Linked DNA regions of Astyanax mexicanus. The protein of the gene in region 3 purifies or fractionates together with the protein of the main gene of each other region. This does not show direct contact. Links are inferred from orthologs where the notes say so. Each region holds a gene or a part of one and is shown on either strand. Other genes may lie near its edges. The genes, in order: tmem59, lrp6, pomk and ghitm.

The links.
Region 1: the proteins of pomk (region 3) and tmem59 purify together in Homo sapiens (affinity purification with mass spectrometry; 3 studies listed by BioGRID and IntAct, with this or other methods). This does not show direct contact. The link is inferred for Astyanax mexicanus from reciprocal best matches to the Homo sapiens genes POMK and TMEM59.
Region 2: the proteins of pomk (region 3) and lrp6 purify together in Homo sapiens (affinity purification with mass spectrometry; 3 studies listed by BioGRID and IntAct, counting the BioPlex papers as one, with this or other methods). This does not show direct contact. The link is inferred for Astyanax mexicanus from reciprocal best matches to the Homo sapiens genes POMK and LRP6.
Region 4: the proteins of pomk (region 3) and ghitm purify together in Homo sapiens (affinity purification with mass spectrometry; 3 studies listed by BioGRID and IntAct, counting the BioPlex papers as one, with this or other methods). This does not show direct contact. The link is inferred for Astyanax mexicanus from reciprocal best matches to the Homo sapiens genes POMK and GHITM.

What each region holds. Positions count from the first base shown.
Region 1 is NC_064425.1:41,516,505-41,524,456, reverse strand, and holds the start of tmem59 (transmembrane protein 59), read right to left. Parts: upstream 3,013-7,952; 5' UTR 2,904-3,012; coding exon 2,745-2,903; intron 859-2,744; coding exon 753-858; intron 104-752; coding exon 9-103; intron 1-8. Other genes in the region: U2 snRNP-associated SURP motif-containing protein, read right to left, coding at 4,824-4,962, 5,779-5,946, 6,807-6,940, 7,024-7,134, 7,874-7,952.
Region 2 is NC_064409.1:30,628,082-30,634,975, reverse strand, and holds the start of lrp6 (low-density lipoprotein receptor-related protein 6), read right to left. Parts: upstream 3,012-6,894; 5' UTR 2,482-3,011; coding exon 2,427-2,481; intron 81-2,426; coding exon 1-80. UniProt on the Homo sapiens protein: Component of the Wnt-Fzd-LRP5-LRP6 complex that triggers beta-catenin signaling through inducing aggregation of receptor-ligand complexes into ribosome-sized signalosomes.
Region 3 is NC_064414.1:27,798,449-27,806,269, reverse strand, and holds the start of pomk (protein O-mannose kinase), read right to left. Parts: upstream 3,022-7,821; 5' UTR 2,864-3,021; intron 1-2,863. Other genes in the region: grxcr1b (glutaredoxin domain-containing cysteine-rich protein 1), read left to right, coding at 5,741-6,130. UniProt on the Homo sapiens protein: Protein O-mannose kinase that specifically mediates phosphorylation at the 6-position of an O-mannose of the trisaccharide (N-acetylgalactosamine (GalNAc)-beta-1,3-N-acetylglucosamine (GlcNAc)-beta-1,4-mannose) to generate phosphorylated O-mannosyl trisaccharide (N-acetylgalactosamine-beta-1,3-N-acetylglucosamine-beta-1,4-(phosphate-6-)mannose).
Region 4 is NC_064422.1:16,584,821-16,591,996, reverse strand, and holds the start of ghitm (growth hormone-inducible transmembrane protein), read right to left. Parts: upstream 3,024-7,176; 5' UTR 2,929-3,023; intron 1,648-2,928; 5' UTR 1,619-1,647; coding exon 1,487-1,618; intron 1,326-1,486; coding exon 1,223-1,325; intron 759-1,222; coding exon 647-758; intron 1-646. UniProt on the Homo sapiens protein: Plays an important role in maintenance of mitochondrial morphology and in mediating either calcium or potassium/proton antiport. Mediates proton-dependent calcium efflux from mitochondrion.

The DNA.
Region 1 (7,952 bases), on a different chromosome or scaffold from region 3:
GTCATTACCTGCTCCTGCCTCTGCTCAGCGAATGGAAGCTGACTCTGACAGCCCAGACTGCAGGCGTACTGCTCATCTCCCTGACTATAGGCCTCATGACACGCTGCAGAAGCCAGGAGACAAAACAGGAACACACCGATTAATTAAGTCACATTGGTTATGAAGCATTGTTTAAATAATGAGAATTATTATAGAAATAATTAAAGAAACAATAATTAAATAAAGATTATCATAACCCAAATTCAATAACAAAAGCATTACACTCTTAATCCACATTTCACATTCTCTCTGAGAGTAACTGAGGGTAATATAAATCATACAGAGCTGGGCGATATGGCAAATACATAGCATCACAATACACTATATGTTGACACACAGATAAAATAGATTAAAACACTACCAAAGCCAGATTTAATGCAGTATTATATAACAATTGGTATTGTTTGCTTCTGGCCTCCCCCTCTGCAGGTGACAAGTGTAATTCACTTTTACTCCACGCTGAGGAAAGCGCCGCAACCCTAGATCTGATACATCAGCTAACAGCTAACGCCTGGGGACAGAGCACCACCTACCCGCCTAGAGAGAGCATGGTACATTGTGCTATCTCAGACTCTGGCTGCTGATGGAGACCCAGACTGCTATAGGATTCCCCCGTAAATTCTAATTTCTAGTTTTTAATGAGAGCAGCAGAAAAATACCAGTTTTAAAATTAAAAAATAAAAAGCTCAAGACCGGTGCAGGAGTGAGCGTACCAGAATCACACTCGGATTTGGTCTGATTGAGGTTCTCGCTGTCTCCAACGAACTGGCAGATGGAGAAGAGTCTGCAGCCTCTCTGACAGGCGTAAAGCTCCTCCTCCTAAACAAGAAAAACAACACAGCACACTTAGTTATCTCAGGACTCATTCCACACCATTACCATCCTGAACAACTACAGAGGAGTTTACATATGCAGGTATGTATGTAAATAGATATGTATGTATATATATATATATATATATATATATATATATATATATATATATATATATATATATATATATATATATATACACATACATACACACACACACACACATATATATATATATATATATATATATATATATAACCATAATTCTGTACAACCAGGTAGAGGAAGAACTGCTGGAAAAAAAAAAGAAAGCCCTTTATCACAATGAATCATACCTCTGATTGGTGGATAAAACACACATAATAAAAGTGCGTGTTCATATTAGACGGTCATTATTTGAGTTTCTTTTCACCAAGAAAGAGACCCGGAACACAGATGTTTACATAATACACACCCACTTTATATAATGGAAGCAGTTAAACACTTCATCCCTCAACACATCAATAAAGAATGAATAAAGACATTCTTCTCTTAAAGAAATATTAACAGAATTCCTAATAAATCAAAATTGTTCCTCGGTTAAGTAAATATTTCCTCTCAATTCAATAACCTGATTCCTTTATTTAACATGTTTCTGTTCCCGATTTAAAGACAGTCAAGTGTATAAAGAATCAATTTTGTAAATATTCCCCTTCCTTAAATATATAACTACCTCCATTTAATAATTTAATCTTTCAAGTTAATAATTTGGCGCTTGAATTTATCATAAACTTCTTAAAATTAGGTAAATTATTTAATATTTATCTAAAAGTATTTACTCAGTTACTAAATATTACTTAATATTAATATTAAAGTTACTTTTATATGTATTAATTTTTTAATTAATTAATTAGTCATAAATATATCCCTGAAATTTAATTTCTTTGCGATTTAAAGACAGCCGACTGAATAAAATACTCTACAGACGCTACAGAGCTCTTAAAGAGTTCAGAGAGAAAAATAATATTTGCACAATTAAAGGTATATAACTCCCTCAATAAAAAAAATCTTACATGTATTGTCCATCAATTCCAGGCTGAATTCCAAAAACAAAAATAAATTCCTTTTTTTATTTATTACAGTAAAGAATAAATGGGTTTTCATCTATTTTATAAAAGTTCTAGTTTTCCATTGTCATTGCTTCCATTGTTTTCCATACTCGGAATTTTAGAAAAAAAAGTTTTTTCTTTGTTTTCTCATTACATCTCCTAACAAAAAAGTAGGCTGGATTACACCACTAGATTGTTTTACAAGATTCAAAATGGAGAACTGAGTGAATAATGTTTTTTTTTTAAGTGAGATTAAAAGGGATTAGAAATTAAAAAATGAAAAATAGAAAAAAATATAACTACATTCCTTTTCTACTATACAAGAAAAAATGCATTATTTCATAAATTTTGCCTTAAACTGATAGAACAACTCATTAAACATGTTAAACGATTTTATATATTTATCTCTTAATACTGCTTTTTTTCTAGCTTACATAACTTTGGCTAGCTTAAAACCTTATGAGCTTCATAAAATAATTATTAAACATTAATAAAGGCTTTAAAGTAGTTCAACAAAAACAATACTGTACTGCGTACTAGAATTATCCGTTCCACCTTAAATCCCTCAGCAGTTACAGCAGCAGCTCAGTGCAGGCGCCAGCATGCAACAGTGTAAGTGCAGGAGAATTTAAGGTGGAATGGAAAAGTGGAAGAAGAAGAAGTTAAGTAATAACAGCACGGTTCAGTCTGGTGTTTCGGCGACGCTGCTGCAGTGATGTGAGTATTGATTAAGGCTGGTATTGGTGAGAAATCGGTGTTATAGATGAGCTGATCGCCGGTTTATTAGTATGTTATGCGAGTTACCCGCGGGTAGGTGTGCAGGCTGTAGGTCATCCTGCAGGTTCTGTGGCAGGAGGCCGTGCTGCCCAAAACCCCGTCAAACACGTCGGCCGACGCCGAGCAGCAGCACAGCAGCGCGGCCCAGATAAATCCCAGCAGCGCTGCGCCGAGAAACCCCGCCATTCTGCCCGAGGATCCGCGATAAACACCTAATAAACAAACAACAACAAACAGCGGCTCCAAACACCGCTCCTCTTCCGACTCCGGCAGCGCGAGATCTCGCGAGAGCTCCGCCTGTAGTGTTTAACAAACATCAGCGCTGCGTGTTAATCCAGAGAACTTCTACAGAGCAGACACCAGGGGGCGCTGCAGAGTGAGACCAAAATGAATGGGTTTCAATGGAAAAACTACGAAAAATCAGAGTTTATACAGTTTTTACAACTTTAATCATTTTTATACTAAACATTACTGATTTTCTCAACACAGAACACTACATCAAATGTTTCAGAATTCCAGATATTGCTTGTAAAATCTTTTAAAACTCCAGTTATAAGCAGAGATGTGTAGTATCGAAGTATCTAACAGGATATTAGGAATAAAAAAATCTAATGTTGGTGATGCTTTTTTACTGCAATTACTAAATGCTGTTCTGTAAATAACTGGATTTGCAATCAGTCAGAGGAATTAACGTCCATAACAGTGTGGTTTAATTTACTGCAGCCACTGTGAAGTGAAAGGACAACATAAATGTAATCCTGGGTCACTTTTCAATTCTTAAAACAGAGACGGAGGGGCAATAATATCCATCCACAGGCTGCACTGGACCCCAGTCTCAGACTTTAAACACATCTGCTGTAAAGGGTTTAATATATTAGGCAGTGAGTGACCCAGATAACTATGGGGCCTTTTTTATCCATATATGCATGTTGGCTCCATATAGAAGGGCCATTATCAGAATACTGTGCATTTTGGCCATAAAAACCTTAGCTTTAAATTATTTTGACTATCATAATCAGAAGTAGAGGAGTGCCATATCATATCCGTCAGGCCCTGTCAAAATGTTTTTGCCTTGGACTTCTATATCCACTAATGTACATCATTGTGTGCTGTAAATATCATTACAAAGCAGTGTATTTTGTATTTGTTTTGCTATTTACAGTATTTACTTTACTAATTTTGTTTGCACTCTTCACACACTAAATATGCTACACTTTAGTTGAGTGGTATATTGTTTATTTTTTGCGATTATATTTTTATTTTGTTATACTAGAAATATTTTATACAAACTCAAGAGAAAGAGACTAATGTTTAGATTTTTGCTTCTAATTAACGGATGAAACTATATGGCGTCAATGGAGATGGCTAACGGCTAAATTAAAAGCCAAGCTAAAACAATTAGTTTTCTTAATGAATTATGTTAACAGAATAAATGTTGATTATATAGAATAAGTTATACTGTTTGATAGGATGTGTATTATCCCTCATATCTATTATATCACTGTAACTGATAATAAATATAGATATTAAATTATTGTCCAGCACTACACTGTGTGTGTTAACTTCATGGATGGATTAAAAGCAGAGGCAAATTCTTTCTGTACTCACAGCACAGGTATGGTCACCATGGTTGTTCTATACTCAATCACCCTGAATCATGAAACTGTACAACAAATCACAGTAAAAAAAAATATATACACTTCTGTAAATATCAGTTTACAATCACTTACAAAACATACATCTCAGAGGAGTCACATAAGCTGTGTCTTTATTGAAAATCAAAACAACTATACAACTGAAAACATACACACTATTTTAATTTAAGTCATTTTGCAGGGATCTAAAAACCATGACCAAAAATAATACCATAGTTCTGAGACGTCGCCTCTTATTTTCCTGCTGTGCGAAATTAAGACGTCAGAGGAAGCCCCTTATTCACAATATAAAATACCCCTGTGTAGACCTGTGAGGACACTGGACACGTGCAGACGGGAGTGGTCAAAGGGACTTAAAGAGGCTGAATGGGGAACGAATCCCACACGGATTTACAGGACGAAATTCAGGCACAAAAAGAGAATCCAGCTGTTCTGGAGCTGCAGCTGTGCTTCAGTGCTTGCTCTTCTTGGATTTTTTGTGAGAGCGGTGTGGCGATCGCGAGCGGGACCTGGACTTCTTGGAGGATTTTTTGGGCGTTCTTGATCTGGATCTGCGGGACCGTTTGGGTGTAGCGGGTGGGGAAGGCGACCTGCAAAGTGAGAGAGAGAGAGAGGGTAAATTCAAGAGTGTGATGGAGAGCACTGAAACGGCACGGAACTGGCTGAAGAGTCTGCAGGAGGGTACGTAAATAGACTCGAAGTGGAAGAGTCTGATGAAAGATATACTAGTGCATCTCAAAAAATTATCATCAAGAATTATCAAGAATATCTTTGAAAAGTTACTTTATTTCAATAACTCAGTACAAAATATGAAACTGATTATAAAGATGTATTACACACAGTGATCTGTTTAAAATCTATTTATTGCTGATAATTATGTTCAACAGTCAAAGAAACTCCAAAAATCAGTGTCTCAGAAAATTAGACTATAATAGAGGATTGATTGGTACATTTGGCAGTGTGCCAAGTCCTGCTGGAAAATGAAATCTGCATCTCCATAAAAGTTGTCAGTAGCAGAGGGAAGCATGAAGTGCTGTAAGATTTAGTGGGAAAACAAAACTGCACTGACTTTAGACTTGATAATAAAACACAGTGGATCAACACCAGCAGGTGACATGTCTCTCCAAACCATCACTGATTGGTGGAAACTTCACACTAGACCTCGAGCAGTTTGGACTGTCTCTCTCTCCACTCTTCCTCCAGACTCTGCTCCCTTAATTTACAAATGAAATGTAGATTTACTGATGATCAGTGATGGTTTGGAGAGACATGTCATCTGCTGCTGTTGATCCACTGTGTTTTATCATCAAGTCCAAAGTCAGTGCAGTGTTTACCAGAAAATTAACAATATAAGAAATAAACGCTCACTCTGTGTTTAATATATCTATATTTAAGTGTAAACTGACCTTTTGGAGGTTTTCCGGCTGCTTTCCCGTGGCGAGTCTTTGTAGGAGGTGCGTGAGCTGTCCTTGGTGTAGGATCTGTCTGAGCGCTCGGACCGTGGGGAGGGGGACCGGCCACGCCGGCTGGAGCTACTGCGGGTGGGACTGGGGGAGGGACTGTGCCTGCGCTTCCTGATGAACCAGAGAAAGCAAACATCACATACTTGATATATAAAACAAATCTGCATAAATAATTTACAGCATTCAAGAAGAACATGCAAAAATACACAGAACCATGTTGTGCAAAACTGTATCGATTTTCAAAAACACAGCATCTTTAATTTAGTTTACACAGGATTGGTGTCAGAAGTGGTTCATTTATTGTGTGTTTAATCCCCATCCACTAAATATTTTAATTCACAAAAAGTAAACTTTAATTTTACTCTGCTTTATAAATATTAGTGTTTGTACTATGACAGTTTTTCTAAAATTAGACAAAAACTTTGTATGTATTGCCTTTCTTACAGTATCACAGTATAGAGCCACATCATATCGCCTAGTCAGGTTCTTGCCAATACACAGCCTGACACTTTACTTATCCAATCAGAACAGTGGGATCTAATGACAGAGTAAAACATAGCTATCTAGTGGACAGGGTTTAAACGAAACAAAATGAATCACTTCAAACTCCAATCTTTACATGTAAACTAATAATTAGCCATAAATATGGTGTTTAAGAATTGATACAGTATTATAAAACAAAAGCTCACGACACTTTGGTACACTTTCTTTCCCACTTATTTATAATACAGTCAAACGGAACAGATCAGTTTCAGGTATATCTAAACACATATAAGCACAACTGAACACTGAATAAACAATTATTTTTGGGTTCCAGATTATCCAATTAGGACAATTAATATAATTTTAAGAAATAAATTTGGTTTAATATTTAGTGAAGCACATCAGTGTCCTCAATCTCATCCATCCTGCAGGTGAACTGCCATTTATTAAACTGAGACTTGGTGTTGTTTTTCCAGAATGCAGCTTACTTCTCTTTTCTGCTTGATGAAGATTCCTCCTTCTCCTTCTCCTTCTCCTTCTCTTTGTGCGACACTTCAGATTTCTCTTTCTCCTTCTTTTCTTTCTCCTTCTCTTTATCTTTCTCCACCTCCTTTTCCTTTTCCTAAAAGAGATAAAGATGAACCCTTTAGTACAGGTCTGTTCTGTTCTATAAGAACAGGAAAAGTTCTGAGAACTGTATCTCACCCTCTGTAGTAACTTGTCCCTGTAGAGCTCCACCTGCTCTTGAATACTCTGTCCCGATTTCTTCGGCCGTTTTCCAGACTCCAGCTCGTCCTGAAACTTCATCACTTTCAGCTGCAACAAAAGCACAGGTTTATTCAACAAATAGATTAAAAAATGATATGCTTAATGGATGCAGCAGTTCAGCACACACAGACTAGGGATGTAACAATACAGACACCTCTGGCTGTGAATAACAAACATTATTGGATTTTTTACAATTTGCGTTTAATGTAAAACATATGTAAACAGCAGAGCAACGGGAGATTAGACCTAGAAGAGTAGCTGGTAATGCTTTCTGAATTATTCAGGCAACATTATCAATATCCAGACGTTATAAAACGTAGAGTGTTTCCTTATTACTGTAATTCAGGGAAACATTTACTAAACCATTACAACCCTCCACACTGCACACACCATTACTCTACAAAAACAAACAAAAAAAATCTTAATATATTTTAAATATAAAAAAAGTTCCACATACCAATTTTTTGTCACTTAATTTTGTCTTCTTTTAGATTAGATAATATTTACTTTTTATGCATTGTTTTCTCTTACCATTTTATTGCCAAATACCTTGAGCTGCTAAATGTATGCAAAGACTTTTAAAGAAGTTTAAAGGCTAAAAAATGAACTTCTACTCAAACGATTTTGGACATTAGCTTTTAGTCAAAAATATATTAGACTTCAGCTTTTACCGAAAGGTATTTTACATATCATATATTTTATATATTGGTTGTTGACACTGTTCATTTCACCATTTGCATGAGCCAACTCTCAAAACTTCAATCCTAAACAGAAATGTAAGGCGTACCTCGATTTCCCGCAGTTTAGCTCGCTTCTCCTCACTCATCTCCGACAGCTTGCTGGATTTGGATTCATGATATTCTTCT
Region 2 (6,894 bases), on a different chromosome or scaffold from region 3:
CACCGTGGCGTTCCCACGCCCATGAGCGGCGTCCACCAACCGCAGGTCACGCCGGTTTGCATACAGGAGAAGCGGCACAGCTGAGAGTGAGAGGGAGAAATCAACAAATATATTAGCCTGGCAAAGCAAAAATCCCTCCAATATATAAAGATATTTCACAAAACAAAATTTAATATGTGATGTGTAATTACTTGTTAAACAAAGGCTTCCCCGTATGGAAACAGGTTACACTAGCTGAGAGATACAGAAGCAGTATCTAAAGTGAATGAGGCACAGTGACTGATATGCCTGGTAGATTAACATTCCCAAATGCTGTCCATCCCAAAACAATCTTTCATTTATCATAATTTTGATGATTTTGATTTGAGGTCAGCAGTACGAACTTGGCACACAATGTAAACCTAAGCTCACGCAGACAATGCCACACATCAGAACACAGCTACCTTCTTCTGTTACAAGCAGCAGAAACTAAACAAATGGAGCTCTAAAGCAAACAGCACTGATATTCTGCCTTTCTGTCTTTAACTCAGTAAACAAGTAATAAGAAACTTCAGATCAAACTAAGTTGGCAAAATGTAATTTGTGACTGAAGTGCTAATTTGCTGCCTTATCTAGAGTTTTAAAAGCATTATAGAAACGTTTGCATTATGTGTCTGCTAACAGGGCTCCTGTACAAAAATAAACTGACCTAAGAACTTCCCCAGATCTGTATCTCTTACCTCTGCAGGGTTTTGGCACTGACTCAAACCCCAATTTGACACATTGACCACTGCTCTCCAGCGGATCACTTTGGAGGGCAACCTCAAGTTCCCAGTCTCTGACCGATTGACTGGCCTGCTTGCCGTTATTTTTGTTTAACATGAGGCCTGTGAATTTCCTTTCCCAAATATTTATAATCTTGCAGATCACCAAGACAGCACATTGAAGTCCATCCAACACCCTTCACTTACTAGCCAAGTGTAAATACAGGGAGTATTGCACTTTTTGGACAGTTGATACTTGGCTTCTGATCATATAATTTTTGTAGCCCATCTTAGTTTGTAAACATTTTAACAGGTTCTGAAAGTCAGTTTGTTTGCATAAAGGTGGCATTCCCTCTCTACCAATTTTTTATTTTTACCTAAGAGCTTTAAACAGTCACACAGTACGAAAAATATGAGCATCAAACACATTTTAAAGCAGAATCTGCTTACCACTAATTCTAATACCCTTGTGATACACTTAATTTTAAGCATACAACTCTCAAATTACAAGCGCCTTTATTATTTTAACTACTCCACAAAATCAAAATCTTAAAATGTTATTATTATTATTTTTTTACCTTACCAACACTCCAGGGCACAGGTCAAGGAAAGAATGGCTGTGTAACAGATGTATAAAAGACGATGTGTAGCTATAAGTATCTGAAAGTGCAGCTCTGCAACTTCACTCATTTAATAAAAATAACTACAACAAACGTCAGACATCTTTGATAATCAACTGTGGATCACCGTGAACTTTTAAACGATACGTTTAATATGTATTTGAACGTTTCATAAGAATATTAAGGATTACATGTTAAGGAGAATAAAACGCCAATGAATCTCACAATTATTATTATTATTATTATTATTATTATCATTATTATTATTATTATTATTATTAATAGTAATGTTGCCTTAAAACCTTAAAAAAACAAAACACCCAATAATAAGGTCTAGGGCCTCGTTAGTGAAAGTTTAGTGGGGTTGGTGCTGACAAGTTCGGGAAAGCCACGACATCCCTGATCCATCACTGACTGCAGAACCCTGAGAGTTTCAGTGCTGAGCTCTGCTGTTAGCAAACATTCTGTAACGTTAGTTACCTAGCTCAGATTTAACCTTCAGACAGTGAACTCTCCCCTCTCACTGCGGACAAAAACACACTGAGTAAGTTAACTGACTCGCGTTTACTGTCGTTTCTCGGTCAACATTATTCGATCAGAGTCGGGTCTCTGCTGAAAGTGTGGAGCTGCTTTAGCCAGCGCTAGCAGCACAACAACCAGACTAGCTACAACAATACGAGCAGAACGGCTAACTCTCCGCTCCAGCCGGGCGCAGATCACCTACGGGAACGCTTCCCTGCTCTGTGGTAAAGCAGTAAAACACGGTCTGGTTCGTGTTGTTGGTACCTGGGCTAGTGGCTTCAAGTTTCTGAAAAAAAAAACGGGCTGCAGCTCGGCCTGGGCTACACGCTCCCCCGCAGCAGCAGCACTCAGGCTAGTGCAGTAGCTCCGTCTGCTCCCCGCCGGAGTGAAGCTCGCTGAAATATTGGGACACTACTGGAACACTGTAAACCAACTAAACCACCAACACCTATCTGCCTGCTGGAGAGAGAAACGAGCACACCGCTCAGTTCAGAACACCCAAACACTTCCCAACGAGAAAAGGACGACAGTCCAAACTCACCCCGTATTTGCAAACAGAAACTACACAAAAAGAGACTCCGCAGCACGGCGCCCATCTTTCCCCCGTTCTCTCGCCTCTGCTCCTCTCTGCGGCCGGATTTCAGCGCGGGGCTCGCATGGCTGTGTCCTGCTGCCCGCGCAGAAGTGATTCGAGGGTTTAGGGTAAGAGACTTCAGCTGGAAGTGCTGTTATAAAGCCACCGGGGCCGCGGGTTTTCTCCGCTCCATTCTTTCTTTCCTCTCTCGAGCTTCAGCGGCGCTACGATTTCCCCCCTCCACGAAAAATCCTGCCGCCGGAGCGCAGCCACTCGCCGCCTCTCGAGCCGTGTCCTTCCGCCAGCAGGAAATGCTCCCTGAAATCACCCGACCGCTGTCTATTGTTTGTACCGGAGTGTCCCGAGTCAGATACGAGGTTTATCTTAAAAACACAGACACCGGACCTCAGCCGCCCGTCTGTGCCGTAACCGACAGTGTGGAATTTCAGCCAAAGCGCGGGACCCGTGCGTTCAGCCCGCTTGTTTTAAAGCATGGGAAACACATTCCGACGGGACTAGTTTTTCACGGAATGGTCTGGTGCTTCGACCTGTGTGTGTGTGTGTGCGCGTGTATACGTGTGTACACACACACACATCTGCGAGTCAGTGCCGAGGGCTCACACGCTGGTGTGGAGAGTACAGAACGGTCACCAGTCCAGACGAGCCGCTTCAGAGCTGGATAAGAAAGTTTGAGCAGTAAAGCAGCGGGTATACCCCGATTAGACTGCTGAGGATCAAACCGAGTGACTTAAATTCCCTTTAACTGAGTCTAAAAAAAATCAACATGGGTGGTAAAGCAAGAACATTTAAGCCATAGCATTGTTATTACAGTATTGTAAATATCATAAAAGAGACTATATGCAAATTCCAAGTATTATTTCATCAGTCACACCAGGCTCAAACACTTGAAAGTATTTCAAACACAGTTATCTATGGAGTTATTTTTGTGCCAAAAGTTATATATACTTGTACTTGTAACTATATATACTATATATATATATATATATATATATATATATATATATATATATATATATATATATATTTGGTTACTTTATTATTCTTTGCAGTTATTAAATTAGAACAATTATTTGTTTGTATTTTGGCAGCCTCTGCTTTTATTTTTGTGTTTTTGTCTCTTAGTTGCTTTTGCTTAATTATTTGTGTCCATATGTGTATTATCTGCAATTCTGATAGCAGATTTTATAATTTTGTGTAAAACTTTTCGCAACTCTACAAATATCCTGACAATTTTACGTGCATTTTTACTCTACATAGACAAATTAATTAACAGGACAAGGGCACTTTAGTGGGCCATTTAGATTTCAGCTGGAACACTGGCGCTCTTGCCCCGCCCCTAGAATTGGAAGTGAGCAAATTGATCACACTGTAAATGCCTAAAACAATAATTCCTTGTGACATGCCATTTGTGTTGTCATTTTGTTTTCTAAAAGAGTTTCTTGATAATGTGTTGTCCTTCATAATTTTTATTTTTACCTGGATCTCAACGATCTCAAAAGAGATACAAAAATGTTTTAATACATTAAATTTAGGCTATAAAACTTGATTCACATTCCGAACTCTCATTCGGAGTGTAATCCATCGTGTCCACGACCACTTCGCTAGGTGGCAGTGTCGCGAAAACAGGGTCCTAGAACTGCGGTCCTGAAACTGCAGGGTCCTAAAACTGCAGTCTCCGAGGCTGCAGCTATACCCTTCTCAAAAAATCACACCAAAATATTAAGAAAATATTTCTAGCAAAACAGAAAAAATATTTACTAACAAAACATTGTTGTTTTGTCTGGTGTAAGAGGAATTTACATATAAGGGAACACAGGGTGCATCCAAAACTATTACTAATACCAGTGCAAGTGCAGCATACAGTATCCAACAAAAGTGAAAACACCCCTCACATTTCTGCAAATATTTCATTTTATCTTTTCATGGGAGAACCCTATAGAAATGAAACGTGGATATAAATTATAGTAGTCCATGTACAGCTTGTAAAGATTTACTGTATTCCTAAAACATCTGAACACTCCCCACAGCCATTAATGTCTAAATAGCTTGCAACAGAAATGAGTGCGCCTAACAGTGAAGAATTGTGCCCAATTGTCCCCCTGTATCTCCCTGGTGTCATGTGACTTGTTGGAGTTTCAGAGTTCCAGAGTTCCAGGTGTGATTTTGGGGGGGATTCTCTCATTCTGGCCACTGGATATTCAACAATCCACTTCATGGAAATTAAATGAGAATGTGAGAAACATAATTGTTGCTCTTCACAAAGATCTAAGCTATAAAAAATGCTAACACCCTGAAACAGCATGGTGGCCAAGGTCACACAGCAGTTTTCCAGCACCAGAAAGCTTTTAAACAGTTTGCTGAAGACAAGCAGTCCAAGAGCATGGATTAATGGAACCATATCCTGTGATTTAATTAGAACAATACAAACATGTTTGGCTCAGACGGTGTCTAGCATGTGTGGCAGCACCATGGAGAGGATTACCAAGAGAACTGTCCCTTGTCTACCCTCAAGCATGGTGGAGGTAGCATCATGGTCTTGGGCAGCATAAGTGCTGCTAGCACTGGGGAGCTGAATTAGTGTACATAAACTGTGATATTTTAATGCAGAGCATGATTCCCTTCTATCCCAAACACACCTCAAAAATTACATCTGCCTTGCTGAGGAAGCTAAAGATAAAGGGGATGGACTGGCTGATTTTTTAATCATGGGGGAGTGGAAGAGGATTCCAGTGGCAACCTGTGTTGCTCTGGTGAATTTCAAGCCAGCCAGTCACAGGTGGTCAGTCAGTAACTCGGACAAAGGCAAAAAGTTGGAAATAGTTTTGACTGGATTTATGGGGAACAGAGAAAATGTGAATCAGGCAGGCTGTATCCTGGATCTGCAGCCTTTATCTAAGAGGAAACATTAATTACCAATAGCTAACCTAAACAATTAAGACAGTATTTGAGACCCGAACATCTTCAGGAAGGTCATTCCAGAGCTGAAATACCCTTGCTAAACTCCTCTTAATTCTGACAACTGGCATATTTCAGTTCCCAGTTGAAGTTGAAGTTTATTTAAGGTTTTGCTGGAACATCCTGACAGTTGCGCATTACAGTAGTCCAACCTTGATTTAGTGAAGGCATATAGGAATTTGTCTGTGCAAGAATGAGGCATTTCTTAGCCTTTCAATGTCATTGAATTGTAAGAAAGCTGTTCTGGTTAGAGTATTGTTTATCAAATTCTAGATCTGAATCCATGACAACACCAAGATTTTTAGCTGATGAACCAGGTGTGAGATAAATGTAAGTCTGATAATTTATATCTGGAAGATTTAAATCATAATTGGAAGGTATATAATTTACCTTCACAAACTAATAATGATCACGTAAATATAATTTAAACCATGATATGGCTGTTCCAGTTACACCGACCATGTTCTTTAACTTTCTAGAAGCATAGTATGATCTCTTGTATCAAAGGCTGCACTCAGATCAAGAAGTACCAGCAGGGAAACACAGCCTTGGACAGCGGTATGAAGCAGATTGTTTGAGTTAAAGGCTTCCAACCTAACTGGCTTTTGTTCTGGATGTGCTATTTATCTGTTGATTAATTTTTCAAATATTTGAAATTGAATTATTGAACAAGTCCATAAAAGCCTTGCTGGTGTGAATGGCTGCAATCTGAGTTTCAGTACCTGCCTGGTTTCAGTCAGTTTGGAAATAACACTAAAGAGAGCTCAAGGATTGTTTTTATTAATGTCAATCTTGCCAGATACTCTGAGCAGATCTATTAAACAATACTGTCCTTTTAAGCAAAGTGGAACACTTCCAGAGTGTAAAAGGTTTATGGCCTTTTACACTCTAAATTTCATACTAATTGCTTTAAAGTACGCATTTGATCATTGTACCATGGGGCAAGCTTTTTCTGTGTCTCTTTTCTGTATTGAAGTGGTGCTACCCTATTTTCTAAACAATCGGTTAGTTTATCTAGCTCTATTGGGTCTGCTGGAAAATACACTGTGCTTGATAAATTAGGGAGGTTACCAGTGAATTGTCATGCTGTAAATTATTGTTTAGATATTGTTTTTTTAATGGTTGATGCCGATATATATAAAGCCGATATTTTTGTTGCAAATGATTGTTTTTTAGTTTGTTCCCCCCCATTTATTTATAATAATAATAATAATAATAATAATACACATTATAACCATCTGAAATTACAGTATTGAAATAGTTGAGTACTTTAAACAGACTTTAATTCCAGTGTTTCAAACATTGAATATTTGAGACCTTTACACTTGGAAAGTGTGCAGTGTATGCAAAGAAGAGACAACAGAATCTTTTACAAGTGATTTAAAACACAAAATATGGGTAAAATATTTACACAAAATGTACAACAATCATATCTTACCTCAGTCAATCAGTGAGATTA
Region 3 (7,821 bases):
AAGCTATCCGCGCTTCGGAAATTCTCAGTCAAGTCATCCGGGCTTTAAATTTAGATGCGCGTATACGTGCGATTTTACGGTAAACAGCCGCGCAGGCGGAGAGCACGCTTAAAAAACACAGAGAACGGGAGACCGACACGTTTCAGTCTATTATATTAATTCAGAATTAATTGGGCTTAATTATTCATTAATTCATACATTAAGCCCAGAAACGAGAAAAAACGGATTAAAATAACTCACCTCACTGTATATTTTGTGCAGTACATTATCTATTTGATATAATATCCCATCAGTGTTTAAGAGAGAGAGAGAGAGTTTTATATTAATATTACTTTTTTCAATCCATGCTTCAAATTAAATTTCTCATGAGTTTCCCAAAAAACCAAAACAGATCCAGTACCTTGTAAAAGAGTCCATCCTAGACTATCACTTCTGCAAGTGTGGGCAATTTTCACTGTATGGTTTATTTTATATTAATAAAAAAAATTGTATGCGTGTTTAAAATAAAAATTTTCATGATTTTCCCATAATGCCAAAACTGGTCCACTACCATTTGAAAGAGTACAACATAGGCTGTCACCTCTGCAAGTTAGGGCAAATTTCACTGTATTTTTTATTTTATATTTTTATTATTATTATTATTATTATTATTATTATTATTATTATTATTATTATTATTGTTTTTTTTATTCATGTTTAAAATTAAATTTCTCATGATTTTCCCATAATGCCAAAATAGATCCACTACCATTTGAAAGAATCTGTCCTAGGCTATGACTCCTGCGAGTTTGGGCAAATTTCACTGTTTTGTTTATTTTATATAAATTTTATTATTTTTTATTTATACTTAAAATATGTTTTTTTTCATGATTTTCCCATAATGCCAAAACAGGTCCACTGCCATTTGAAAGAGTATGTCCTAGGCCATGACTCCTGCGAGTTTGGGCAAATTTCACAGTTTTGTTTATTTTATATTAATTACAAAAATATATAGATATAAACATATATATAGTATATGCATATTTAAAATTAAATTTCTTGTGATTTTCCCATAATGCCAAACCAGGTCCACTACCATTTGAAAGAGTCCATCCTAGGCTATGACTCCTGCAAATTTGGGGAAATTTCACTGTTTTGTTTATTTTATATAATTTTTTTTTTTTTTTTTTTTTATGCTTAAAATGACATTTCTCATGATTTTCCCATAATGCCAACACAGTTCCATTACCATTTGAAAGAGTCTGTCCTAGGCTTTGACTCCTGCAAGTTTGGGCAAATTTCACTGTATTGTTTATTTTATATTATTTATTTATTTGTATTATTCATGCTTAAAATTAAATTTCTCATGATTTTTCCATAATGCCAAAACAGGTCCACTCCCATATGAAAGAGTCCATCCTAGGCTAGCTCCTTGACAGTTTTTAAAACTGCCGGCTTACTGTCAGCAAGCTCCCTGACAGTTTTTAAAACTGCCGGCGTACTGTCAGGAAGCTCCCTGACAGTTTTTAGTAGTGCCGGCATACTGTCAGGAAGCTCCCTAACAGTTTTTAATACTGCCGGCGTACTGTCAGGAAGCTCCCTGACAGTTTTTAATAGTGCCGGCGTACTGTGAGAAAGCCCCCTACTGTCAGGAAGCTCCCTGGCAGTTTTTAATACTGCCGGCGTACTGTCAGGAAGCTCCCTGACAGTTTTTAGCAGTGCCGGCATACTGTCAGGAAGCTACCTGACAGTTTTTAAAACTGCTGGCATACTGTCAGCAAGCTCCCTGACAGTTTTTAGTAGTGCCGGCGTACTGTCAGGAAGCTCCCTGACATTTTTTAAAACTGCCGGCGTACTGTCAGGAAGCTCCCTGACAGTTTTTAGTAGTGCCGGCGTACTGTCAGGAAGCTCCCTGACCGTTTTTAAAACTGCCGGCGTACTGTCAGGAAGCTCCTTGACAGTTTTTAGCAGTGCCGGCATACTGTCAGGAAGCTACCTGACAGTTTTTAAAACTGCCGGCATACTGTCAGCAAGCTCCCTGACAGTTTTTAGTAGTGCCGGCGTACTGTCAGGAAGCTCCCTGACCGTTTTTAAAACTGCCGGCGTACTGTCAGGAAGCTCCCTGACAGTTTTTAAAACTGCCGGCGTACTGTCAGGAAGCTCCCTGACAGTTTTTAGTAGTGCCGGCGTACTGTCAGGAAGCTCCCTGACAGTTTTTAAAACTGCCGGCGTACTGTCAGGAAGCTCCCTGACAGTTTTTAGTAGTGCCGGCGTACTGTCAGGAAGCTCCCAGACAGTTTTTAAAACTGCCGGCGTACTGTCAGGAAGCTCCCTGACAGTTTTTAGTAGTGCCGGCGTACTGTCAGGAAGCTCCCTGACAGTTTTTAAAACTGCCGGCGTACTGTCAGGAAGCTCCCTGACAGTTTTTAAAACTGCCGGCGTACTGTCAGGAAGCTCCCTGACAGTTTTTAAAACTGCCGGCGTACTGTCAGCAAGCCCCCTGTCAGTTTTTAGTACTGCCGGGTACGTGCCTGGCACTGCCGGGTCGATGAAAAAGTGGCTGGCGGGTGACGTCACGCAGACCCACCACTGCCGCCCGTCTCCCGGCAGGCAAAGATCCAACCCCAACTGCTAAATCATCTACTTTCAGCTACTTTCATACTGGGCATTTATAACCTTCATATATATATTATTTAATATTGCTTATGTTTTAAGTTAGACATTATGAATCTTGTTTCCTATAAAACTAAATGAAAGTATAAACAGTCAGCAAATTTCTTTAAACTGAAGCCTTTTTACTAACCCACTAGTTAAATGGCTTGTTATTGTTTAGTGCAGAAACTAAAAGCTCTGATCTGCTAAACATTGTTTCCACCACACTTACCGCACTGCGCTGTGTTCATAATCAAGTCCACCAGTCACTCAACCATTCCTACGAGGATTGAAGTTCAGCTGCTACATTCTGTAACTGATTAAGCTTCACTGTCTAACTACACCACTGTATTCATCCTGCTCTGTCTTCTTCTTCTTTAAAACGAGATTTACCAGTTCAACTGTGATCTGAGAGCTGCACTGCCATCTAGCAGTAAATACTGTTCATTACCACACGCCTTCTACCTGGATGATCCGGTGCCAGATGGCAGCTACTTTGCTGAGCTGCTTTTAGAGTATAAACCATTAGTGAGTCCATCATTTTGTAGTGCTGTTCGAAATCCCAACAGTACATTGTATCACCTATATAAATCAACATAAAATACCCATAATGCATCACAAAATGTACAGACGAGGCACACTAGAATTCCCATGGAATTTATGCATGGTATCATGCATTATTATGATATCATGCATGATACCATAATTCAAAGTGGTGGTGATGTGTAGGACAAGCTCAGAACGACACAAAGACGGTCTGTTTAGTCGCTCCCTTATCAGCTCACCACCATCCCATCCAAGGGCGTAGGAGCAGGTTTGATATTGGGGGGGACACATTTGCCAATATGAACCCAAGCCCACCCTATAGTTTCTTAGAACAACATTTGTGGAAATTACTTTAAATCACAAATAATATTTTTTTTTCTGTATTTTGTTTTTTATTAGTTAACAAGGTGATTTTACAACCTAAACATGTTACTTCACATTACATTTACTGTTGTAAGAAAAAATTATGCAAATACATATACATATGACAAAAATGATCAGTTATCACCTAATATTTAAAATAATATAACAGATTTGGTTATTATTATTATTATTATTATTATTATTATTATTATTATTATTATTATAATCATGTATTGGCATGTCAATTCTGTTGTATATTTACATTTTCTCCACTCTTTAAAAAAAATCCTACGCTTTTATTTTTTTATTAAGAGCTCTTCTAAAGATTGGTGTCCTTTTATGTAAAAGAATGTAACTTTACGTTTCATAAAGATTTTAATTATAAACGTCAGGACATGTGGCCTTACTGTGAACCCTGTTCTTACATATTCTACTGAATATTAACACTGTTCTACATATTCTAGAGCTTTCTCTGCTTTAAAGACATTTAATAAAGTAAGTGGTGGTATGATGTGTCTAATACACTGCTGGATATACATGATTAAACTCAGTAAACTCAGTAAATGACTGTTTATTAGCTGATCAGCTGGATCAGGTGGAAAACACAATTTTGGGGCAGTGATCAGGGTTAAGAAACTGCTTTAAACTACAAACATAAAGTACTGTACTAAATTCTGACTATCCACTATCTGGCTTCTAGATAACTAGTTAACTAAATGAATTTTTGTTCATTATTGCTCACAGTAAATCCTGTAATCCTAAATTAATAAAGACAGTTTAAAAATGAAACAGTAATTAGCTGATCAGGTACAGGGCAAGTTGAACATTACGTATATAGTTTATTTTTTCTTTAACGTTGACTTCCAATCTATCTAATTCCAAAGTTAAGCTAACTCACTCACACAGCTGCAGTTTATTAATCACAGTGGGTTTAAACTGTGTGCTGATTTAGAGTCTTGTATTTTTAACCAGCTATCAGAAACATCATCACAGTTTATGTGGTTAGCCTATCGTTACCTTTCTTTTAGAAAAATCCCCGTATATCCAGATCTTAATCAGCTGAAGCTGCTGCAGCCCGATCCCGCTGCTAAATCTCACAGCGAGGGGGCGGGGCTTCCCCCACTAGCACACCGCGGGCCGCAAAACCAGCAAACTGATTGGCTGTTCGTGCTGAGAGGCGGGACTTAATACCTGAACCGGCTCCGTGATTGGTCCGGTCTGTCTCCTCATTAATAGTACAGCTGATCTGAGCGAAACGATATAATTTTTGGGGGGGACAAATCCACCAGTTTCCAATATTGGGTGGGACATGTCCCACCCATCCCCCCCGGTTCCTACGCCAATGATCCCATCCATCCATCCATCCATCCATCCATCGGTCCATCACTTAGAGAGGCACAAAAGCACTATAAAGTGATTACAGTCAATTAAACCAGATTTTAATCACTTACGAAAATGTGTAAATTACTTTACGATGTTCAAAAACACTTTTCACTTACTTTCTAAGAATATTTGAATGACTATTTTCAAATATTCCAAACACTTTAAACAAGATTCGAATCCCTTTTCAAAAAATATTTTAATTACTTTCCAAAATATTCATGGATCTGTAACTACAGACACGATGGGCTGAAGCTGCTGTAAAGTCAAGCAGTAAAAACGTGGCGAGATGGTGAAACTCAGTAAAACATGGAAACTTAGATTGCAGCGGCTTTTCAATCTGTTCAGAGCTTTAATATCAGAAATCTCTCTACAACAGAGATGTAAATATAGTATTACTCATACAGCATCCTGACAAACACACAAACAAACAGTCACCACTGTAAATACACAGATCAGGCAAGAGGCTGCTAGTTGTGGTAGTAATGATAAATTGATAAATAAATTAAATACTTAATAAACAAATTAATTTTATTTTAATTTAAATAAAGTTCACGGGTCTTTGGAGCTTCTCTGTTATAATTTGTTCGTTATTTTTTATTCAGTCTGTTTTCTTCGTCTCCATGGATCAGCTTCATTCAATATTAACACATTCGGTGTCAACTTGACACCTTCGTTCTCTCTATCTCTCTCTATCTCTCTCTCTCTCTCTCTCTCTCTCTCTCTCTCTCTCTCTCTCTCTCACACACACACACACACACACACACACACACGAGCGCGTTAGAATGATGTAGTTTGGTGTGTGTGTGTGTTTCTGCTGATGGAGAGAGAGACGGGGACCCGCACGGAGCGCAGGGTTCGGTTCCGCGTGGCGTCCGCGCGCTCCGGCCGCGTGCTGGCGGAGGTTTTTCGGGAGGAGGCGTTTGAGGACCCGGCGGACTCGGACACCACCGGCAGCTCCGAGCCCGAGCGCGCGGCCTCGCCCGCCGCCAGCGAGGCCAACAGCCACCTGAGCGTCCCGGCGGGAGCGCGCGCGGACGACAGCGGGAGCGAGCCTGACGAGCTGCTTCTGTACGCGAGCGGAGCGAAGGAGAGCCTGTTCAGCGGGAAGCGCGTGACCATCCGCAGCAAGAACGGCACAGTGCGCGGAGTGAGGGACAAAGTGAGCGCGGGACAGATGCTCTTCAACTCGCTGGCCCGAGTGTACGGGGTGAGTGACGGGGCTGCGGGCTCAGAGTAACAAGTATCACTTCAATTTTCTCACCTAAAATAAATAAGAAAATTAGGTATACGTTTTTTTTATCCTTTTAAACATTTTAAACATACTACTCGCATTTGGTACAGTAAAAAAATATTTTCCAATTGTTTTTCAATTTTTTAATTGTTAATTTCTCGCCCTCACATTTTGAATTTCCCCCCCAAAAAATAATAAAAAAACATTGATTTTCCTTTATTAATTTGATGGTATAATCTTTTGTTAAATATAAACCTTTGTTAAAACATGAAAAAATGGAAATTTGGAAATCAAGATTATTTTTTTCATTTTCCCAAGAACTTTAGATTGTGAGGGCATTAAGGAAAACTAGAAAATTGGGAAATTAATTAAAAAACAATTTCTTATATACTACACCAAATAAATAAAATACTATTTTTTCTATTTTCATATTTAGCCTCAAACAGCCAGAAAAAAGAACTGATAAATATTAAAATAACCCTAGAGAATGTGTAAGATTTCTTGAAACAATCAACAAAGTATAAATAAACCTAGAGCAGGTGGGTGTGTCAGATAGAAGCAGGGCATTAATTGCTGGCTTTTGTTCAGACCCAACAGTAAATATAAAGGTGTGTCTAATATCCCCATTCCAAAAAATGCAGAATGCAATGCTTTGCAATTCTCACAGACCCATAAAATAGAACACATATCAGATGTTGAAAGTCAGACCTTTTACCATTTCATGAGAAGTATTAAGTTATTTAGAACTTGATGGCAGCAACATATCTCAAAAAACTAAACAGCTGCAATAGAAGCAATCTGCGACTAACTCATTGGGTATAAAAAGAGCACTTTAAAGTGTCAGAGACTCTCAGAAGCAAAGGTGGGTAAAGGTTCACAGATCTGTAATATTCCAAAAAAAAAATTCTCAACAGAAATTTGCAGGTACATTGCATATCCCATCATTTACAGGACATAAGGTCATTAAGGGACAAGGCCAACAACAGTATTGGATGCTGGTGATCTTTGGGTCCTCAGGTGGCACTGCTTTGATTTTGTACTGGAAACCACTGCTTGAGCTCAGGAATGCAAGTTTAATCTCTTTCATGCAAAGACGAAACCATGGGTCAATGCAGCCACCTTACCAATTTACCTCAGTTTACTGAACTGCTCTTATTGCAGCTGTTTTTATTAGTATCACTTACTTTTCCAGCCTTTTGTTGCCCCGTCCCAGCTTTTCTGAGATGTGTTGCTGCCATCAAGTTCTAAATTAGATACATTTTCCATAAAATGGAAAAATGTCTCACTTTCAACATTTGATTTGTTTTCCTTGTTGTACTATGAATAAAACATAAGTCTATGAAATTTGCAAATCACTGCATTCTGTGTTTATTTAAATTAATTCACATTTTACACATTGTCTCAACTTTTGGAATTAAGGTTGTAGTCTATTACGTATTAAAGTCTATATGCATAGTCTGACTTTTTGCAGTTTCATAATTCAGTGGATTCAGTCACTTTTAGGAAAAAAAGATGAACAAAAAAACATACTTATTATTTTTTATAGAACTTTTTTTATTTAAGAAATCTTATAACACATGCCACATATCAAGGGGCATGGAAATATTATCTTGTTCCAAGATATTTGCCATGCCCTATGGATATTCTAGTTGTTTACTAAACCGGTA
Region 4 (7,176 bases), on a different chromosome or scaffold from region 3:
ACACACTGTCATCAGAGGGAAGCTTGAAGTGCTGTAAGATTTTCTGGGAAAACACTGCACTGACTTTGGACTTGATATAACACGGTGAATCAACACCAGCAGATGACATGTCTCTCCAAACCATCACTGATCATCAGTAAATTTTACATTTCATTTGGAAATCAAGGGATCAGAGTCTGGAGGAAGAGTGGAGAACACAGTACATGCTGCTGGAGGTCTAGTGTGAAGCTTCTACAATCAGTGATGGTTTGGAGAGACATCTGCTGGTGTTGGTCCACTGTGTTTTATTATCAAGTCTAAAATCAGTGCAGTGTTTTCCCGGAAAAATGTGTTTTCATCAGCTGTAAGCCATTATCATCAACAATAATGATCACTCTGTGTGTAATACGTCTATATAATATATGGGTTTCACATTTTAACTGAATTACAGAAATAAAGTACCTTTTCAATGCTATTCTAATTTTTTTAAATGAACCTGTATCTGTACAAATTTTATTAACATATATTATTTATTTCACTGATTTGGGACAGGTCCAGATTTGCAGAAAGACAACAGTTTTAAATAACATAATGAACATAAACATAAAATGGCAAATGGTAACATGTCTTAATCCAGATGATTGGCACACTTTATACATTTTCTTACACTGATTTCTCCAGAGCTCCGATCTCACTGGACATGCCCAGCCCATAATAACACAGCGCTCCCATTCCGACTGCTGCTCCGCCAGCCAGGATCATCCTGCCCATGGTATCAACTGAGAGTGAAAGAGAGTAAGAGAAAGCGAGTGAGAGAGCTTGTGTTCTTGAGTAAACATTATGACCAAAAAGTGACAAAAATATACATGAAAATATACACAAATCTTTGCACCTAGTGTGTGAATTGCAATGCTTTTAAGAAGAAAGCTGCAGTTTACCAAGAACCTGTAGACTATGGGCAAGATTAGGAAATATCCAACGATGCAAAACCACAGCCTTTAGTACAACTATTTATATAATATAAGTATAAAATTAGTGTTTTACTAATACACTTACTGCCTATATATGGTTATTTTAGTAACTGTATAATTCAAATGTGTTATTTTTGCTCTGTACCAGTACTGTAGAGTCAAATGCAGTCTCCAATAAGTCTAAATATCCAGGAAAATAAACAATTAGGTTTCTCCAGGAGAATATAACGGTATATTATGTATATTATAGAGTGCATATTGTGTAAATTCACTTTTAATAGCAGTGTCTGTCGCTGGCTCGAACGCTGCCTCCTGTAGCTGATCTTTAGCAGTCTTACTCCTCCGAATTCCAAACCGGGCTCTGGAAGAAAAACCCTGAGGCACAGAAACAAAAACAATATAATCAGATTACTGTCACTGTACGTATTTAGAGTTTCTGAACTATCTTATTTAAACCAAAACCTGACTAAAATATTAAACAGCTACAAGATTAGCAGAGGGGTTTGTATACATTTATGTAAAAACTCTCTACTCACCTGCTGGGGTTTCAGCAGAGGGGGGCAGGTTTTGAGGGCGGAGCTCCGCAGGGCAGGGGTGCCCTGGGTCAAGGCTGAGCGCAGCCCGACCACAGGGAGAGTCCGCAGGCATGCCAGCCTCGCCACCAACATCTTCAGATCAGTGTAGTGAACAACAACCTCTGGAGATAAAGACAGATAAAGATATGTAAATAAACAGTGGTGTCTTTTTAACAGACACTACAGCCAATAGCCATGAACAAGCACCTGTGTGGGGAGGGGGCGGGGCTATGCTATACATAACTCCCTGTTCAAAATGACTCAGCATTTTCTGGAGCGTTTATACAGCTACAGCTGTGGTGATATGAGGTTCAACCTGTTTTATTTGAGAACCTAAACTCCACAAACTACAGCTTACCTGCTGAAATAAAACGTGTATTATATTACAGCATAAACCTCTATATGAATATGTACTATAAAATCTTGACAGAACATTTTTTTTGTTTTAATATTAGGATAGGTTGAACAGAAAAACAGAAAAAAGTAGAAAAATGGATTTATATAACACAGGATATCTTCCCTGATTTAGCTATTTATATGTATATGTAAAAATAAAATGAACATTGTTGTTTTTTTCAATAAACTACAGACAACATTTCTTACAAATAAAAATAATGTAGTTTAGAAAATTTATTTGCAGAAATAGCTGAAATAACAAAAAAAGATGCAGAGCTTTAAGACCTTAAATAATGCAAAGAAAACAAGTTTCCAGAAGAGTCCAGAAATCACTATTAGGAGGAATAACCCTGGTTTTTAATCCCAGTTTTCGTGCATCTTGGCATGTTCTCCTCCACCAGTCTTACACACTGCTTTTGGATAACGTTAAGCCACTTTCTGGTGCAAAACTTCAAGCTATAAGCTGTACATTATACTCTTATTTTTTATGGTACAGGCATAGGCTTTTCTGCACAGTAACAGCAACGACTCTTACATACAGAAACACAGCACAGTTAAACAGCTACAGTTCTATTAGGATAGCATACACTATAATTAGAATTTACCTAATACATATCTAACCATGTAACTTATTGGCCACAGGTAACATGTGTGGCATGTAGCCAGTAATTACTTAACATTAGAATAAGCATTTTGATGCGTGATGTAACAATGTATAATGATTTTGAAGAGGGGAGACTACAGTTCTAAAAGATAATTCAATTTAAACCATTAAAAACGCACAGTTCCACTGATTAGAGTACAGTATATTCAGAATAATCTGATCTGATCTGTTTCCTCTTAGTCAGGCTCTCAGAACACGGCTAAGCTAACAGTTAAAGCTGTGTAAACAGAGCTGTGTGAATTAAACAGCGCTCAGACAGGATCGGACTGTATATCAGGGACTAATTATATACTATATTAATACTATAAATACACTAAAAATGCGTTTAAAATCCCAAACTCACCCGAACCGAGCCTGAACTTCTGGGTTCACCTCTGAGAAATGCGCAAACTCAAGCGTCACGACCTTCCGGAAGTTTCTCTCCTGTTACATCATGAACCACGCTCGCAGTGCATTGTGGAAGATGTAGTTCATTGACAAGTAAGTTATTTAATAGATTTTTTTCTACACTGGCTACATAATAATAATAATAATAATAATAATAATAATAATAATAATAATAATAATAATAAAACATTTTTTAAATAAACTGATAACGATTATATTATATTTAAAAATATATTATAATTAAAATAAATATATATTAATTTATGTCTGCATTTCCCCCTTTTAAAAATGAAAGCAGCAACAATAATAATAATAATAATAATAATAACAAACAAGAAAGCTTGTTATATCACCGTTACTGCCATTATTATTATTATTATTATTAGTAGTAGTAGTAGTAGTAGTAGTAGTAGTAGTGGTAGTAATATTGTTGTTGTTTTTGTTGTTGTTGTTGTTGTTGTTATAAAAGTGGAAATGCTTTTTAAGCATGTCCAGCTATTTCCTGTATACCCTGTCATCTTGAGATAACCCGCCCTGTCAGTGACAGATCACAACCTTCACCATGTTTATTTTTTAGGGGATTTAAGACACTTGCTGCATGTTCACCAATTAATTATATTAATTTAACTCAATATTCCTCATTTTATCTCCATGCTTATGTGAGATAAAACTTAAGTTGTCCACCCTGGCGTGGTGAAAAAAAAAATGTATTTTTGAAACAGAGCAAGGTCATCATGAACAATTTAACATGTTTGCAACTCTACCTCAACCATGTTTTATCAAATTGCAATTAAATTTTTTTCATTAAAATTGTCCACCCTGTCATGCAGCTTGCTATAACATGGTGGTGCATGCGTGTCAGGAAATGAAAAATAGAAATATGAAGTGGTAAAGCTGGAAAATATGATTTCTGTGTAGTCTGAACATTTAGAAATAAAATAAAATAAAATAATAGTAAAAAAAAAAGTCAAAATGATTATCTTTCATTTTTTCAGATTTCTACTGTATTCACTAAGAGTGAAAACACCGAGAGGTTTTCTGCAGTTGCCAACAGTGGCCAGCAGGTGGAGTCAGTGTTGTAGCTTTTCTCTAACCTCCTAAATCTCCTGATTCAGCTGGTAACTGTGTTCAATTCCAGTTAGTGTGGGTGATGACATCAACTGTGCTGGGATATAATTGATTACACTGCTGAACAGTGTCATTTTAAAATGAAAACCACAACAACAACAACAACAATAATAATAATAATAATAATAATAATAATAATAATAATAATAATAATAATAACAGATATAACTATAAAACAAGCTTATTTGTGTGTGCAGTATTTTAAAACAAAGCAACAGTTATAAATTAAAAGATATAAAATTAAACAAATGTGTGGTTTACATTAATTAAATTACAAATGACACAAATATCAGTATAATGTGCATTATTTTGTTAAAGAGAGATTTATGTTTATTTATGTATATATTTTTAAAACATTTACAATGAACAGAAACAGCATCACAGGTGTGTGAGGGGAATTTCGATCCACTGGCACCGTTAAAACCTCGCGGCTGCACGCGGCTGGAGGCTTCACACGCACTTGCTGCAGTTGCTCTCCTGTAAATGTGCGAGCCGAGAGACTCCCTGATGAGATCTATCTATCTATCTATCTATCTATCTATCTATCTATCTATCTATCTATCTATCTATCTATCTATCTATCTATCTATCTATCTATCTATCTATCTATCTATCTATCTATCTATCTAAGACTAAGATAGATTTGCTGCAGTTTCCGACAGTGGCCAGCAGGTGGAGTCAGTGTGGTAGCTTTTATTTCACCTCCTAAGTCTCCTGATTCAGCTGATTACTATGTTTAATTCCAGCTAATGTGGGTGATGACATCAAGTCCCAATACTTACTGTTATTTAGGAGACACAGCAAACACTTGGAAGGGGTGATCTGGTCAGATGAGACCAAGGATGAATTTTGTGGCATAAATGTGAAACTCTATATCTCTGTCTCAGAAAACTAACATCACACATCACTCTAAACACACCATCCCCACTGTGAAACATGGTGGTGGTGGCATCATGCTGTGAGGGTGATTTTCTTTAGCATTGACTGGAAAGCTGGTCAGAGTTGAACGGAAGGTAATAATAAGGAACAGCAAAAAAAAGTCTCGGTCTCTAGCTGTCATCTCAAATACTGGTTACCCTGATATCAAAGAACACCGAATAAACTGTTAATTATAGCTCCTTTTATTTACTTCTACTATCTTTTAATACTGATAGTGAAAAAAATAACCTTCAACCTTAACCGCTGCTTATTACGCAATGTTGAATAAATAATGTTGCAAACAGGCATCAGTTAGTGTTGAAATTCTGACTTTGAATCAATGGTCATTTCAAGGATTTGAATGACTGGGGCTAGTTCTACACCCACTTAGAATAGAACACAAACATATTAAGGATACACATACATATTAAATGTAAGAAAATTTATAACAAACAACATATTAAATGCATAAGATTAAATTAATTCTAAATTTAAAATTGATGTGCACAAATAAATTGTTTCTGATTTCAGAGATCAACATTGTTTTAATGCATAACAGATGGAAAAAATCATGTTTATGAATCATATACGTTTGCTTTCTGGATAATCAACTTCACTGTAAAAGATGTTAGTTTAAAAGTCAAAAACGTAAGTTTAAAAGTAAAGTCATAAAGTTTTAAGTTACATTTATTTGAATGACTTTATGTCTGATTTGACTGTTGGCTCCTCTCTGTGAGTTCTGTGATTTAACTACATAATACACATTGTTTCAACTTAGCAATTCAGGTTTAAAATACAAATATTTCCGTAATATGAGTTTTATTTACTTGTTCCAGAAAACCAGTAGTTTAACTTTGTTACTTAGATTCCTGAAGGTGGAAGTGAAAAATGGAAGAGAATATGACAATGAGTTATTTAAGCAATAATACATGAGAGGGAGAGCTATAGCACGTAGCAGTAGCACTGCTATTATAGTGCATTATAGCAGGAAACTCAAGTGTCCATTATCGCTGGTTATTGAACGATTTTTAGTTAAATACAATGTGTTTGTAATACAATGTGGTTATAAACTCCGTGCAAGTTAAAATAGTTCCATTGCTGCTCTGTGTGTAGCTGCGCTGTTTGGCTTGTAAACGCTGCATCAATGCTAGGTTACCTGTATGTGGCAGAGTAATACATGGAGTGCTTCAGTTACAGTGCATTACCGGCTGATAATGTCACTCATAAAACGCCTCTCAGCCAATTACATTGCAGGGTCGGAACTAAGTGTGGTATAATACACAGTGATCCATGCAACAAATGGCATTTTGCTTTCATAGCCATCAACATAGAGGGTATCCAGTCCACCCTTGCATAAAGCATAATAGAATACACAAGAGAAGTTGTGCCTGGCGGCACAACTACACACTGATGGTGTCACTGAGAAAGGGAGACCCACCCACTGTGTACATTAGTGGTATCAGGAATGAATTTCCACTTTATTAAATTAACATAAAGTCCACAAGCTCTAGTTGAGCTTAGAAAACAATTTAATCAATCAATCAATTTAATTAGTTAAAATAATTACAATTAAATTGCTCAAATGTTTGTTACAGTGTGGTTAAAATGTTTTAGGCGCAATGGAATATTTATATGTTTTGTGAATTAATTACATTATTTTTTTTTATATATGATATAATATAAAGCACATGACAAGAATATTTCACATGTATTTGTATGTGTTGTGTGAAAAAGTGGTTCATTTCAGACTGGTTTAGTGTTAAGGATATTGGGTCTAGGTGTGAACTGGTCGGTAAGAGTAAATTTAGATATCTTATGCAGTTCAGTACCTCCAGCCTATACCTATAGGAACCTACAGGTGTGTGAAGATGTAAGTGGATGGATGGCAGTGTTTGTTGGGTTCTGCAAAAATCTAGAACCTGAAACTGATTCAGTTTAAAATAACTCCAGTCTGGAAAGTCAGCAGAACCAACAATTTAGCCCAGATCTGGAAGGTTTTTTATTCACACTCTTGTAACAAAAAATGTTTCTACAATGGTTCTGTAGACGGGGATGCCCACGTGGTTCTTTAGATCGGTGGAAAACCTTTGTAGATTGAAGGAGAACCCGTGCTGGTTAGAGTGTTGGTCTAGTGGTCGAAGCTATAGTCTGACTGCTG